3 linked regions of the Saccharomyces cerevisiae S288C genome follow. Changing the gene in region 1 together with any one later gene gives a genetic interaction. Each region holds a gene or a part of one and is shown on either strand. Other genes may lie near its edges.

Evidence for each region.
Region 2: mutations in GCN2 (region 1) and SLX9 together harm fitness more than expected from each alone (negative genetic interaction), as found in Saccharomyces cerevisiae (4 studies listed by BioGRID).
Region 3: mutations in GCN2 (region 1) and ALT1 together harm fitness more than expected from each alone (negative genetic interaction), as found in Saccharomyces cerevisiae (3 studies listed by BioGRID).

Annotation. Positions count from the first base shown.
Region 1 is NC_001136.10:1,024,550-1,031,772, forward strand, and holds GCN2 (serine/threonine-protein kinase GCN2), read right to left. Parts: upstream 5,501-7,223; coding exon 521-5,500; downstream 1-520. Other genes in the region: MRX10 (Mrx10p), read right to left, coding at 1-206; DPP1 (bifunctional diacylglycerol diphosphate phosphatase/phosphatidate phosphatase), read right to left, coding at 6,001-6,870. UniProt on the Saccharomyces cerevisiae protein: Metabolic-stress sensing protein kinase that phosphorylates the alpha subunit of eukaryotic translation initiation factor 2 (eIF-2-alpha/SUI2) on 'Ser-52' in response to low amino acid, carbon, or purine availability.
Region 2 is NC_001139.9:642,625-645,555, reverse strand, and holds SLX9 (Slx9p), read left to right. Parts: upstream 1-1,775; coding exon 1,776-2,408; downstream 2,409-2,931. Other genes in the region: GCD2 (translation initiation factor eIF2B subunit delta), read left to right, coding at 1-696; TOM complex receptor protein TOM20, read right to left, coding at 961-1,512; twinfilin TWF1, read right to left, coding at 2,548-2,931. UniProt on the Saccharomyces cerevisiae protein: Involved in ribosome biogenesis. Required for normal pre-rRNA processing in internal transcribed spacer 1 (ITS1). May be involved in the movements of the replication forks.
Region 3 is NC_001144.5:317,714-321,822, reverse strand, and holds ALT1 (alanine transaminase ALT1), read left to right. Parts: upstream 1-1,807; coding exon 1,808-3,586; downstream 3,587-4,109. Other genes in the region: XDJ1 (Xdj1p), read right to left, coding at 1-1,122; GPI-anchor transamidase subunit GAA1, read right to left, coding at 3,872-4,109. UniProt on the Saccharomyces cerevisiae protein: Alanine aminotransferase involved in both alanine biosynthesis and utilization. Under respiratory conditions, constitutes the sole pathway for alanine biosynthesis and catabolism.

The DNA of each region.
Region 1 (7,223 bases):
TTCGGGTTTTTAAGCATCTTCATTGTCTTGATATTCGTATCCACTGACTTGTGTTCCCTATTGGTCTTCTTCTCTGTAGCTAGTTTACCTTTCCAACGGCCATCTTGCACTTCTAAATTCTGTATTGATAAACTAGTTCCTAACCGTCTAATTTGGAATCGTGATACGAAACCGAATGTGCTAGTCAAACTTCTGAATGAAAGCATTCTTCACGCCATATTATGATCATTTATTAAATGTCTCCCGTAGGAGCTAGAGGAGCCTCACACAACATACGCACACATTTATATTCACCGAAAAATTAAATACAAAATGGAAAGTAGAGAAAGGAGAGAAGAAGTAGACCATCTCATTAAACCTACATTTGTCTTTAGTATCAGGAATATGTATAAGAAAGGTGACCTACCCCCTTTACAACGGTGAATTAGATGAATCAGCTAGCCTAAATATAGTATCTAAGACATTGTATATACTTTACCTTTAACTGATGCGTTATAGCGCCGCACAGATCTTTAAAGGCCTACCTCTGTAAATCGATAACAGATGATTTTCCGGTTTTGTGGCAGTATAATATTGCCCACCTATTCCCTTTATGAGCCTCTTTGGAGAGGTTATTATAAATGCTCGTGGCAAAGCTTCTAGGAGTCGAGTTATTACCTGACCCAAAAACTTTTCTCAGCCATTCTTCCTTCTGAGCCAAAGAAGTAATTGAGATTATTTCTAAAGTTTCATCTCTTAAGGCATCAACAGTGATAATTGGTGCATTGGATAAATTGTGTAATATCATATTCGAAGAATTTCTGGCTGCATCCTCATAAACCCACTTTTCCCTTTTATTAGCTTTCTTAGATCTTGTAGCCATGTTTGGAACATAAATTACCTTTTGATTATTAGTCGAACCAGCAACAACATCATCTATGTCACCTTCTTGACTACTACCGGCACTGCTGTTTTCATCCCATCTTTTAAATTCATCAGCCTTATCGCCCAAAGTGAGACTATCGTTGATCAAAGATTTATTACCAGTTTCTTGTTGGTACAAGGTTAAAAACTCATCAAGATCTAAATCTATGTCAACATTAGTGCTCAATTTTTTTATTTTTAATGGCTTGTACTTTCTCTTGTGATTGGTTAGTGGATACGCTTGTTGCTTAATCAGCAAAATCCAGTCTATACCATCCTGTTGAGCGCCAGTAACGACATCATCCACCGAGGAACAATCCCTTAACATATCCGCTTTAATGTTTTGCTTCCACAATGTATTCAGTATTGTAACCCCGATTGTGTCCAACAAAGAGTTCGAAAAACTCGATATCAATACATCACACCTGCTTGGCTTCCAATCAACAGCTGTATCTTTCAAAAACCTATTTCTCTTCTTTATCCTATTTCCAGAAGCGAGTTTGAAATAGTTTTGGGCTATACCGAATATTGTTTCCCACGCTAAGTTGAAACCTACAGCCTTACGAGTATTGCTGCTCTTTTTTCCTGATGGTCTGGCAAAAAAGGATATCAAAGTGTCATACCTCCCTCCAGCAGCTATCATATTACGTGAGGATCCATCGTCATAAACTGCATGAAACATGATACCTCCTTTGTAAAAAGCGCTATTGTAGTTACTCAAAGGAGATATCACAACATTTCTTGCAACTTCTAAGGGTTTTAGGTAACTGAGAACCTTTGATATATGGGACAAAGAGTCCTCAATTTTTTTTAGATGCGGACTATCAATCATCAATTTATACAGGCGTTTTTTGGCTGCTTCGAAGTCCAGTCTAAAATCAAATAACTCCAAATCATTCAATGCCGTAGAAGATATGTTCAGTTGCGCCTTTAGTTCATTCTTTACTTCCTTGAAGGACCTTGCAAAGCCTACTTGCGACAACATTCGTGAAACTAGAGGCCTTTGGGCTTTATCAATATTTGTAAAGTTGAAAACACTCTCCAAAATATCAGCATGATTTAATATGAAAAAAGTGTTTGTTTTCTCAAATACAGGAAATACGGTTAATATTTCATCGATAATTTTCAAGCTTTCTGCATCATAAAATCCTGACTCTGAGGAAGATTTTGAAATTATGTCGAAGTCAATCTCACCAAACTTTCTAGGTTCCAAACTTGACCTTGAATGATCAGGAGGTCGGTAAACGTGCTGCATCCTATATTGCTTAGAAATCAGACTTGGATTTTTAGATAGATACCTAGCCATAGGATAAGTTAAATCATATTGTAACTGCAAGACGGTACCGCCCTTGTCAAGCACTTCATATACATTCTGCGTACCGTATATGGGGGCCTTTGGAAAAATCCTCGGAGGAGCATTATTTTCAATTCCTCCATGTTTCCTGAAAATTTTAACTACCTCTTCTGTCATTTGGGACCTGAGAATGTTTGCGAAAGGAGTGGATGTTGGAACTGAGTTATCAAATAGAATATCATTTGTTAGACTGTAAGATTGGTTAAATAAACTTTCTCGAACTTGCTGTTGCCAAGGGGATGAAGGATTCGACAAACTTTTTAAAGCCTCTTTGATTACTTCATCCTGATGCTTCACAGGAAGCCAACCACTATTTAATAATGTCCTAGCACCAGGCCTTTTATTGGGATCATGGTCTATGAGTAACCTTATAATTTTCTTTTCAACTTTCATCTTATTATCGTCGAAATCAGGAGGAAATTCTATCGACACTGATCGTAACTTTTTCAAAATATTAACTCTCTCCATACCTGTACTGAAAGGATAGATCATTTCAAAAAAAATGATTCCAAGTGAATACATATCAATCTTTTCATTATAGTGACCTGTACCATCTAAAACTTCAGTAGCAACATACATTGCTGTACCAATGGCGGATGTTAAATTATCTGAGCTGCCTGGCAAATTCTGTGAATCTAGCTTAAGTATATCCAGAGATCTATGGACGTTCTTAGCTAACCCAAAATCACCGATTTTAACATTTCTCGATTCATCTATAAAAATATTCATTGGCTTCAGATCCCTATGAATGATACCCTGGGAATGTATATAACTCAGTGCTTCCAAAATTTGTCGAAATAACCTCCAATATTCATCACGTTGTTGATTTAAATTTTCAGAATGGATCAAATCATATAGCGTTCTATTTTCACAGTACTCCATTTGAATAAAAAGCGTACTTTTCTTCTTAACAGCAGTCATCGGTTTTACAAAATTCCTCCTTCTTGGAACGTTCTGGATACTCTTTGATTCTTTATCAGTATCATCTTGACTTTCGCTCGAGGAAGTCGAGGAAGTATCATGGTCTAGATCTTCATTTTCATCATCACGAGAACTATTTTCAAAGACAATATCCGGATATCCTGACCCCGATATGAAATCCCAGTTACTATTATCCAAATCGTGATTTGTTCTATTTTTAAAAATACTGCTTTGATCTAATAAATCATTTTCCTCAAAATCAGAGGAAGATTCGCTCAAGTCACTTTCTTCATCAGTTGATTCAAAAACGTTTTCATCCATACTGTCTTCTTCTAACCATGCAGCATAGTAACGCACAACATATTGATGATTTAAGCTTGCTAACAGCATTACTTCACTCAATATAGTAGATAACTTTTCTTCTGTATGTCTAATCTTCTTGATCGCATAGTATCTGCTATCGAGAGCATTACGTGCCTTGACAACTTGTCCAAATGCGCCCTGGCCTAAAACTGCAATCTCTTCAAAGTCAGAAGCATATCGTGATCGCGTTGCAGGATTTATAGAAGAGAATCTGGAACCAACATTAAATGATCTTCTTCGTATACTCGATTGTGAAAGTGTTCTACCTCCATTGCCCCGAACGGTTATGGTATCTCCAGGAGTTAACTCCAAGGAATTAGAATTGACACTTTCGGAAACTAAGTTAAATCGATTGATTGTAGAGTCAATATTGGTCCTTAAGAATTTCATGGGCAGTAGTTCTAATGTTCCTAATCTTTTCTTCGGATCGTTATTAAGCATTTTCGAAAGAAGATCATATAAAGTTTCATCCATACTTGTTGAATCTAGGAATTCTTGAGGCGTTTCAAAATTCATCACTATATCAGATCCACTGATTATCTGGATAAACAAAACACCAAGTTGCCAAATATCAGTTAATCTTTGAGGTTTGGCGTTATTGAATTTCAACAACTCAGGGGCTATCCATGTACTTGGAGATAACTCAACCGAAGAACCATTTTTATTTGGATATCTCGATAGCATATTCAAAACAGTGTAGCCATAAGTGGAGTGAACTAACTTGGGAATAGTGCTTCCAAAATCTGCATCCTTCACCAGGATCACGGTTTCTAAGTTGATACATTTATGAACAATTCCCAATTTGTGTATGGCCTCCAATCCTTCAAGCAATCTAATCATCCAAATACGCGCTGTTGCTAAGTTAACAAATCCAACAGATTGTATCAAATCTCCCAATGGATAGTAGTTACAGTACTCTGTCAAGAGTCTTATTTTCCAAACAAACGTTGCATTATTTCTCCCCATGCGCTCCACCGTATAACCGAACAATCGATTCACATTGTCATGCTTAGCTTTCAACACCGTCTCTAACTCTTTCTCTAAATTTGCTATTTCTTTTTTTCCATTACTTGTGTTGAAATAGCTATTATCCAATTCAATTTCAGATAGCAAATAGTAGAAATTTTCCATCATTTCAGAAGACATTAAAAAATCTGCCAACGGAGATTCTGGTGGTATATAAGGCTTCACAAGAAATTGTTTGGAAAAACTAAATATATCTGATGTCAGTTTTATTGGCTTAGGATTTACAACTGCTTTAAACTTGAACATTGAGTTATTAGGCAATTTTGCCTTTATAGTTTTTGAAAAGACAATAGCTTCACCTGATGCAACCCATTCTGAAGGTGGTTGTAAATCTAACTGGGTTGTTCTGTTGAATAGCAAATCATCATCATCATCTTGTCTTTTCTCCAACTCTCTTTGAACAATTTCATCTATCCTTCGCTGCTCATCTGATCTTTTTTTTATTGTTTCCTGTTGTTTTTCTCTTTCTTCCTTTTCTAATTGTTCTTTAGTTTCTTTGATTCTTTGTAATCGATCATCTTCCAAGGACTGTGTATTTACCACATTTTGAAATTCGTCCAGTTTTTCTTGAGTAAAAGATGTAATTTCAAATATAATCTCTTGGCCTCGGGAGGTGTTGTGGATTTTCTTAAATTCACTTTTCAGCATTTGCAATTGACTATCCATTACATTTTGTACATTTTTGAATTCTATTTCTGGAGCGGTATAAGGATACATTGGGGTCATCGCAAAATGTAATGTTATAGAAGATTCAACCGGCTCTTTGTCAACAGATCGAAGCGTAATTTCGAATATAATCTGTGGCTGCTTATCCCAGCTAGACTTTCTTTTAGTTAAGTCAGTAAAGTCATCCATATAAATGGAACGTATCGCTTCAAGTTCGTTGCACTGTATTTCATAATATTGATCTAAAGTGAGATGACTCAATGACATTTATACATAGTATGTGTTAAGGGGAACGGAAAATTATTGAAAAAAAAAATCAATGCTTATAAAATCTTAAAAGACAACGAGGCTTTCCAACAATGTAAAGATTGAAAATTTAGTGTATTTAATGTCCTTTTGTAATGAAAATAACTTCTTGTAAGAAAGAAGATAGAGATAAATGTAAAAGTAAATTTGCTTAAAAAGATTCTAGGCTGTTTATAGATTGATTACACCAGGTTCTTATCTCAAAAATCAGCTACTCAACTGCTTCCTAAGAAACTACCTACATCACTATAGTCCAACTTAAAACAAATAATAAACTTCTAAGGCTTTCGTGTAAAGTGATGTTGGGATTGTCCGATGAAATAACAAGCAGGCCCTTGCACGTCAAGATTAATTTGAATAAAGAAGTAACATGTCATCTTTATGTAATCGCTGTTATTCCATACAGAACAATAAATACGTATATTTCGTATGTCATGTGGAGTATATATTCTTTTTTATTCTTACATACCTTCATCGGACAAAGGATGTAATTCCTCATCCGGGATCCTCTGATGGGTGACTGCTTCCTCCAGGGTGACATCTGAATCGTCCATCAATGGTTTGAACGGAAGAGGATCATCAATGGGTGGGAAGATTCTTCTGTAGAAAAAGTGTGCCATTATATAACCCAACATAGACCCTAAAATTACATCGACGAAATGATGTCTGTAATCTTGAGTTCTGGATAGAGCAATTAGTGCAGCTCCTAACAGTGGTAGAAAGGCCACCATTTTTCTCCATAAAGGCATCAACGGTGATTCAGTCAAAAGTTGCCCACATAGCCAGAAGTACAAATAACCCAGTCCTGCAAAGCTTTCACTTGAATGACCTGACGGAGTTGTCCTAAACCCATCCAACAGACGTTCGTGATTCTTAGTCGTACACACATCTTTTGCAGTAAATAAAGTGTCCAATGGCAAGCCTTCAACAGGTTGGCAACGATCTAGAAAATCTGGTCTTAGTCTTCCAATCCAATTCTTGATGAAGTTTGTAAAGAAACTCGTACTGAACCAAGCGAGTGATAAACCAAGGAGAGATGTGTACAAAATAAAAATCAAATGTCTTCTATCGGCCAAAATGGAACCAATTATCAATATGGTTAAAGATGGCACGACAAAACTATAAACAAACAACATGTTGTTATTTACACGTTCAGTTGTCGCATAAGGATGCGATATAGTGAGATCGTTAATGTAAAACTGACGTTCGAACGGTTGTTGGTAATACACTGGGTAGTTAAGAAGTATCATGATAATGAGCAAAAAGACATCTTCTAATCTCCATTTCGCCCCTATGTTGAAAGGCGTTTTAATAAACGAAACTCTGTTCATTTTGGTCGTTTGCTATGATTTAATTCTGATTCTTTGCCTTTAACAATTGATAACGTGCCCTTTATTGAACTGCTAACTACTCGAAAAATTGGACACAATTCAGTTTATAGCAGGTGTCCTTTAAGTGATGTTTGCTGATTTCCGAACTGCGCGTATGTTAGTGGACCCTAGATAACAGTTTATTCCCTAACGTTTCTAGATAATATATGACAAAAATATACAACCGATCGACAAATTATTTCTAAAATACAAAAAAGTTAGTCGTGAGGTTATCCAACGTTGGGTTTCTATCTATATATAAAAGCTAATCACCAAACAATTGAGAATCAACGCCGATAACATGATGTACAATT
Region 2 (2,931 bases), on another chromosome or scaffold:
AAGAAAAACATCAAAGTGATTGTCGTCGATTCGAGACCACTATTTGAAGGGCGGAAAATGGCAGAAACTTTAAGAAATGCTGGTGTCAATGTTATGTATGCACTTATTACAAGTTTGGATACGATATTCAATATGGATGTGGACTATGTGTTTTTAGGAGCCCATTCTATCCTATCTAATGGGTTCCTATATTCAAGAGCTGGGACAGCAATGTTGGCTATGAGCGCTAAGAGAAGAAATATACCTGTATTAGTCTGCTGCGAAAGTTTGAAGTTTTCACAAAGAGTACAATTGGATAGTGTCACATTTAATGAACTGGCAGATCCAAATGACCTGGTTAATATAGATTACGAAAATCCAGTCGAGAGACGCGGTAATAAAGGTGCGTTATTAAACCAATTTATCAAAGAAAGAAAATTTGAAAAGAAAAAGCTAGCAATGGAGAATAAGCCAAAGGGTAATAAAATTGGCGGTAAGAAAGGATCTGAAGGAGAAAGCAAGGACGCCAGTAATGAAGAAGACAGCAACAGCAAAAATATTTTGGATGGTTGGCAAGAGTTACCTTCGTTAAATATTGTCAACATCTTATACGATTTAACACCACCAGAATATATTAAAAAAGTGATCACTGAATTCGGCGCTTTGCCACCTTCATCTGTCCCTGTTATTTTAAGAGAGTACAAAGGTTCCGCATAAGCATATACAACATTCGTTAATGGTCGTCCACGTGTGTATACTACATATATATTATATATATATATATATATACATATATATATATATTACACCTAATACGATGAAAAAATACATCTAATGAAAAGAATTGTTTTTATCCTTAGCTTTCCAAAAAGCTTGGTATATATAACAAGATTTAGGCTAGAGAAATGATGTAATTATATAGGGCTATATACAGAGTAAAAGAAACAAAAACGGAGAAAAAAAGCAAGCAAAATGTTACTCTCAGTCATCGATATCGTTAGCTTCAGCAACCGCATCAGATTCGGCCTTGCTTCCAACAACTCCTTTAACGAAAGAAGCCACATTAGCAGGAGGCAAGATGGCAATCATTAATATAATATATTCGTAAATGGCTTCAGGAATGGATCTTTGGTAAATTCCCAATAAATCGGCTGGCTGAGGGTATACAGTCAATGCTTTATAAAACTTAGAGGCTGCTTCCAGTTCCTTACCTTGTTGCATGGATAATCTTTCACCATTTTCTACGTTGGTGGTAAATGTAGCTTCTCTTTCGGAGGGATCACTAGGGATGGGGTCCTTGGCTAATTCCATGGATAAGAATTCGGTAACCTTTTGCAGCTTCACTTCCTTAGCATGAGTTTTAGCTTGTTCTTCCATCTTGGCCTGCTCTTTGGCCCTTTGTCTCAACACTTTCCTGAATTGCGGGCTATTTCTTCTTTGATAGTCAAAGTAGATAGCATAACCGGTGGCTGATAGAGCTGCTATGGCTGTTGTAATAGCGAGGCCACGTAAGATAGGGTTCGACTGGGACATAATAGAAAATAAACTTTATGAAGGTGGCACTTGAGGCAATGTTTCTTGTAGGTCTAGGCGAAGGGACAATAGGTAAATAACGTAAATGTCGGCCATTATCAAGGTGAAATATTCCTGTATAAAAAATGTTATTCGGCGCGAGAAACTGAACGGGGTGACGCACTGCAAATTTTTCATGTTTTACATACTCAAGCATTACAGACTCGATGAGCAGAGATAAGAGACAGGAAATCCATTGAATATAGAAGCATAGATAAGCGATAATGGTTGCTAAGAAGAGAAACACGCTTAGAAGCAAAGTAAGTGCAAGAAATAGTCAAAATTTTGGACCAGACGTAGCGAACAATGGCATTCTGGACGAGAGTTATGACATAGAATCTGATCCAAGGGCCTTTCTGCACCAACCTAAAGAAACTAAAAAGGAAAAGCTACTTAACAGACAGAATACTTTCTTATCTAACTTGAAGGGGAAATCCACACTTAACGATGGCATAGCTGCCAATTTTGATGGTATTTCTAAATCTTCCATTAGACGTAGGAAAAGAAAGCTAAGAGAAGAACTAAAACCAAGAATGCAAGATCTGCTCACTTCTTTGGAGCAAGAAAAGGATTTACGGGGCATTATTGAAAATAGTAGCAAAGACATGAATAACGATGATGACATCGACATGGATTCTAAAATAAGGTTTGTGGACACAAAGGAAATGAACTTGAAAAAGATAGAACCTGGTTCTGTTAGGATAAAAAAGAATCAGCCAAATATCAGGAACCAAAAGGGTGCAAAGGCATTGGCTGCTAACGAAACTGCAAGATTCAATCAGGTCCTAACCAATCAAGATTTCCAAAAAAATCCATTTGGCGCCTTAAGAGAGGTTATCAAGCTGCAAAAACAATGAACATTAAATAGCATAGCATAACAATTTTTGCCAGTGTAATATATATTCCAGCAAACCTAGAAAAACATTCAGTTTCATATTTAGAAGAATAAAAACGTATGTATTGTTGGTCACACATATATAGATGCCATTTCTATCTCTATGTTCTTCTTTTCCTCAATGGGCCCTTTGGTTTGTTGAATTTCAAATTGCTTTTGTTTGGGAGATCTGGATTGGATCCATGATCGAGGCTATCTTCTTTATTTGTTGCCATAAGTAAGGACTTGTCTAGTTCCACAAAATCGCCAATTTCTACCACTTTACTAAATGCGATTTTTTGATCATTTTTCAAGTAGTTGATAAATCCATTCTTGTTAGAAGCATATATCATTCTATCTTTGACTTTGCTGCCAGAGGGACAAGAGTAGATAAAGAAACTTGAATCACCCTGCCTGAAAATCGTGTAACTTGGCCCGGGCAAGTCAATGTACAGTTCATCTACGGAGGGACATGTATCAGATTGCACGATCTGGATGGTTTCGTT
Region 3 (4,109 bases), on another chromosome or scaffold:
AATATGAACGAAAACATACAGATCGCCGCACCGGCCATGAGGGTTATCTAAAATGGGCCAACCTTCATTGGCGATTTTGATGGTGTCACCAGGTCTTACTACTCTGCCAGGTTTAACGCTCAATGTTAGTAACCTGTCGTCGAAGGTTTTTGTCAAAAATTTCTCAAATCCCGTCAAGGCCTCGCTTAACGATATGGTAATGCTTGTATACAAATCTTCCCCGGCGCCGTCGTCAAAGTTCTTCAAAAAGATTTGCTTCTGCTCCAAGTTTTCTTGTTTTTCAGTGAGATGGAACTTTAAATCACCACATGTGGTCTTATCGATTTCCTCGTCCGCCATCCCCTTGACTGTAATTACGTCGTTAAAGTGGTGTCCCGGAGCCACGTTCACTGTGATGATTTCCTTCTTTGACAGGAGCCCCAAGCCTGCGCAATCGGGGCAAAAGTTCTTTGGATTCTTGGGTCTTTTAGTGTACTTCCCCTTACCATTACATTTCTCACAGACCACCCATTGCGAAGCTACCAAACCGGGACCAAACCTCTTCAGACGTTCCTTTGAACCCTTTCCAGCGCATGATTCACATTCCACATCGTGTGTAACGTGAATTTTCCTCTTTGGTTTCCAGCCAGAACCGTGGCACTTTATACAGATGACCTGTCTCTTTAAATCAAACTTCAGCTTCTTGCCCATGTACAAATCCTTCAAAGTAAGAGATATATCGATATCGATATCCTTAGAGCTTGTAGAGTTGCCCTCTTCGTACGCATCATACTCGCCAGGGAAATTATTTCCATCGTGACTTCCATTATTGAAGAAATTGTTAAAGAAGTTCATAAAATCTTCATCTCCAAAGCCATTAGCGCCACCGCTGCTAGCGGCACCATTATCATCACCATACAAGTCGTAATGTGATTTCTTCTCCGGATCGCTCAAGATCTCGTAAGCGGCAGTGATCTCTTTGAATTTGATTTCATTTACCTCCTTTGAGTCTTGATCCACATACTTGTCCGGATGATGTTTCAGGGCAAGCTTTCTGTAAGCAGTTTTAATCTCTTGCACGGTCGCATCTCTCGTCACCCCCAACACATCGTATAACCGGTCTCCTCTATCACTGCCACTCATTCAAAACTACACCTGCGTACTTACTTTTCCCTTTCTTTTGGGTCCAAGCGGCATATCTCTTAAGATAAGATAAGCCTGACTCTTTCTTTGCCTCTCTGCCTTTCTTTCTTCTTCCCTTCTGCAGAGGATGGCTCGTCGCTACTCAAATCCCGACCCAAGAAACAAAGAAACAAGGATTGCACAGCAGAGCGCTGCCCCACACACATATATGCATATGTTTATTTACCGCATATTCGTGGCTATATAATCCATATATAATACACAGCACATTCATGATATAATCTTACATAGTAGCACTTCCCATTAGACGTTTTCTGCTTTTACAGTACTGGTTTTTTTTTCACTCTTGCGTCTTTTTTTTTTTTCATTCTGAAGGGGTCCAAGCCTAACGATTTTCGACCTTTCGTTGAGACAACTTCACGTACTCTTCTGACCTGCTGTGGTTGACGTATTTAGAGTTTGCTGCGCCCTTTGTAAACGATCGTGACCCGCGGACCATACTAGGAAAAGCTCTTCCGTTACTACTACTGCTTTCTCGCTATTTTACTCTAGTTGTTCATACTAGTCACACGTTGCTCGAGAACAGGACCAGCTTCTTTGTTTCTCCCCCGCATTTAATTGTTTCTGCTTCTCAATTGAACGCATATAAATATATTTCCCCAGTCTTTATTTTGCTCTCTCCACGATGTTATCACTGTCTGCCAAAAATCACTTCACAGTGAGTAATTCTATAACTCACGTTATTAAGTCATATCATATAAGGACTCTCACTTCAAGCGCAGAAAAAATGCCACATATCACTACTCCTTTTTCTACCTCAGCCAGTAGTACAAAGTTAAAAGCTTTCAGGAAAGTTAGACCCGTCCTACAGAGACATAGCTCTTCCTGGATTGTTGCTCAAAATCATAGACGTTCATTATCTGGTCAATCTTCGCTAAACGACCTGCGTCATTTGAATCGCTTTCCACACCACACGTTGAAAACTTCGAATAACGAGTTTTATCCCGCCGAACAATTGACTTTGGAAGACGTAAATGAAAATGTCTTGAAGGCTAAGTACGCCGTTAGAGGTGCCATCCCAATGAGAGCTGAAGAATTGAAAGCTCAACTGGAGAAGGATCCTCAATCTCTGCCATTTGACAGGATTATCAACGCCAATATTGGTAATCCTCAGCAACTACAACAGAAACCTCTGACTTACTACAGACAGGTCTTGTCTCTCTTACAATACCCAGAACTATTAAACCAAAACGAACAGCAGCTAGTTGATTCGAAATTGTTTAAACTAGATGCCATTAAACGTGCAAAGAGTTTAATGGAAGATATCGGTGGTTCTGTTGGTGCTTACTCTTCTTCTCAAGGTGTAGAAGGTATAAGGAAAAGTGTCGCTGAATTTATAACGAAGAGGGACGAAGGCGAGATATCATACCCAGAGGATATTTTCCTAACTGCTGGTGCATCCGCAGCTGTCAATTACTTGTTATCAATTTTCTGTAGAGGGCCAGAAACGGGTGTCTTGATTCCAATTCCTCAATATCCATTATATACCGCTACTCTAGCTTTGAACAATTCTCAAGCTTTACCATACTATTTAGATGAGAATTCAGGTTGGTCAACTAATCCAGAAGAAATTGAAACTGTCGTCAAAGAGGCTATACAGAACGAAATCAAACCTACAGTTCTAGTGGTTATCAATCCAGGTAATCCTACAGGAGCTGTCCTATCACCTGAGTCTATAGCTCAGATTTTTGAAGTCGCAGCCAAGTACGGTACAGTAGTGATAGCTGACGAAGTTTATCAAGAAAATATCTTCCCGGGCACCAAGTTCCATTCTATGAAGAAAATTTTGAGACATTTACAGAGGGAACATCCAGGTAAATTCGATAATGTTCAGCTAGCTTCTTTGCATTCGACTTCTAAGGGTGTTTCTGGTGAATGTGGTCAAAGGGGTGGCTACATGGAACTCACTGGATTCAGCCATGAGATGAGACAAGTTATCTTGAAACTAGCCTCGATTTCATTGTGTCCCGTTGTCACAGGTCAAGCTTTGGTTGATTTGATGGTTCGTCCACCAGTGGAAGGGGAGGAATCATTCGAGTCGGACCAAGCAGAACGTAACTCCATCCATGAAAAGTTAATTACAAGAGCAATGACACTGTATGAGACATTTAACTCTTTAGAAGGCATTGAATGTCAAAAGCCTCAAGGTGCCATGTATTTATTCCCTAAGATAGACTTACCTTTCAAGGCAGTTCAAGAAGCTCGCCACTTAGAGTTAACTCCGGATGAATTTTATTGTAAGAAGTTGTTAGAATCTACTGGCATTTGCACTGTTCCCGGTTCTGGGTTTGGTCAAGAACCTGGTACTTACCATTTAAGAACAACATTTTTGGCACCTGGTCTGGAATGGATTAAGAAATGGGAAAGTTTCCATAAAGAATTTTTTGACCAATACCGTGACTGAATAAAAGGGGGCAGAACAGTCTTCAATAAACATTTAAATAGCTAGTTTATTATAATAATGTGATCGTTTCTTTCTTCCACAACTCACATATAGTTATTTGATATTATCGCATCTTCGCTTCTCTATGCCATGTTTCCATCAATACTTATGTTTTATTTAATACATATTTGTATCAGTATATCATATCATTTCATCTTCTTTTGCTTCGATTTGTAATGTTTGTGCGTATAAAATCAATTGCGTAGTTCGAACACCCGTTAATCCTTTACTTCTTACCAATGGCACCTAACTTTGCTTTTCTTTCGACCTTACTACGACAGATTTAGATTCAAACGATGACGCTAATATCAATAGCCAACATGGAAGCCAACCTATACAAAGTACAAACCAACTCCAACATTTCAAATCCAACCATGCTGAAACCAGTTTGTTTATTATATCAAATCCATGAAATTCATCATCAAAAAATAGTCCGAATAAGGTTATTGAAATAAATGGATTTGTCAAAATTAATAGTACTAAA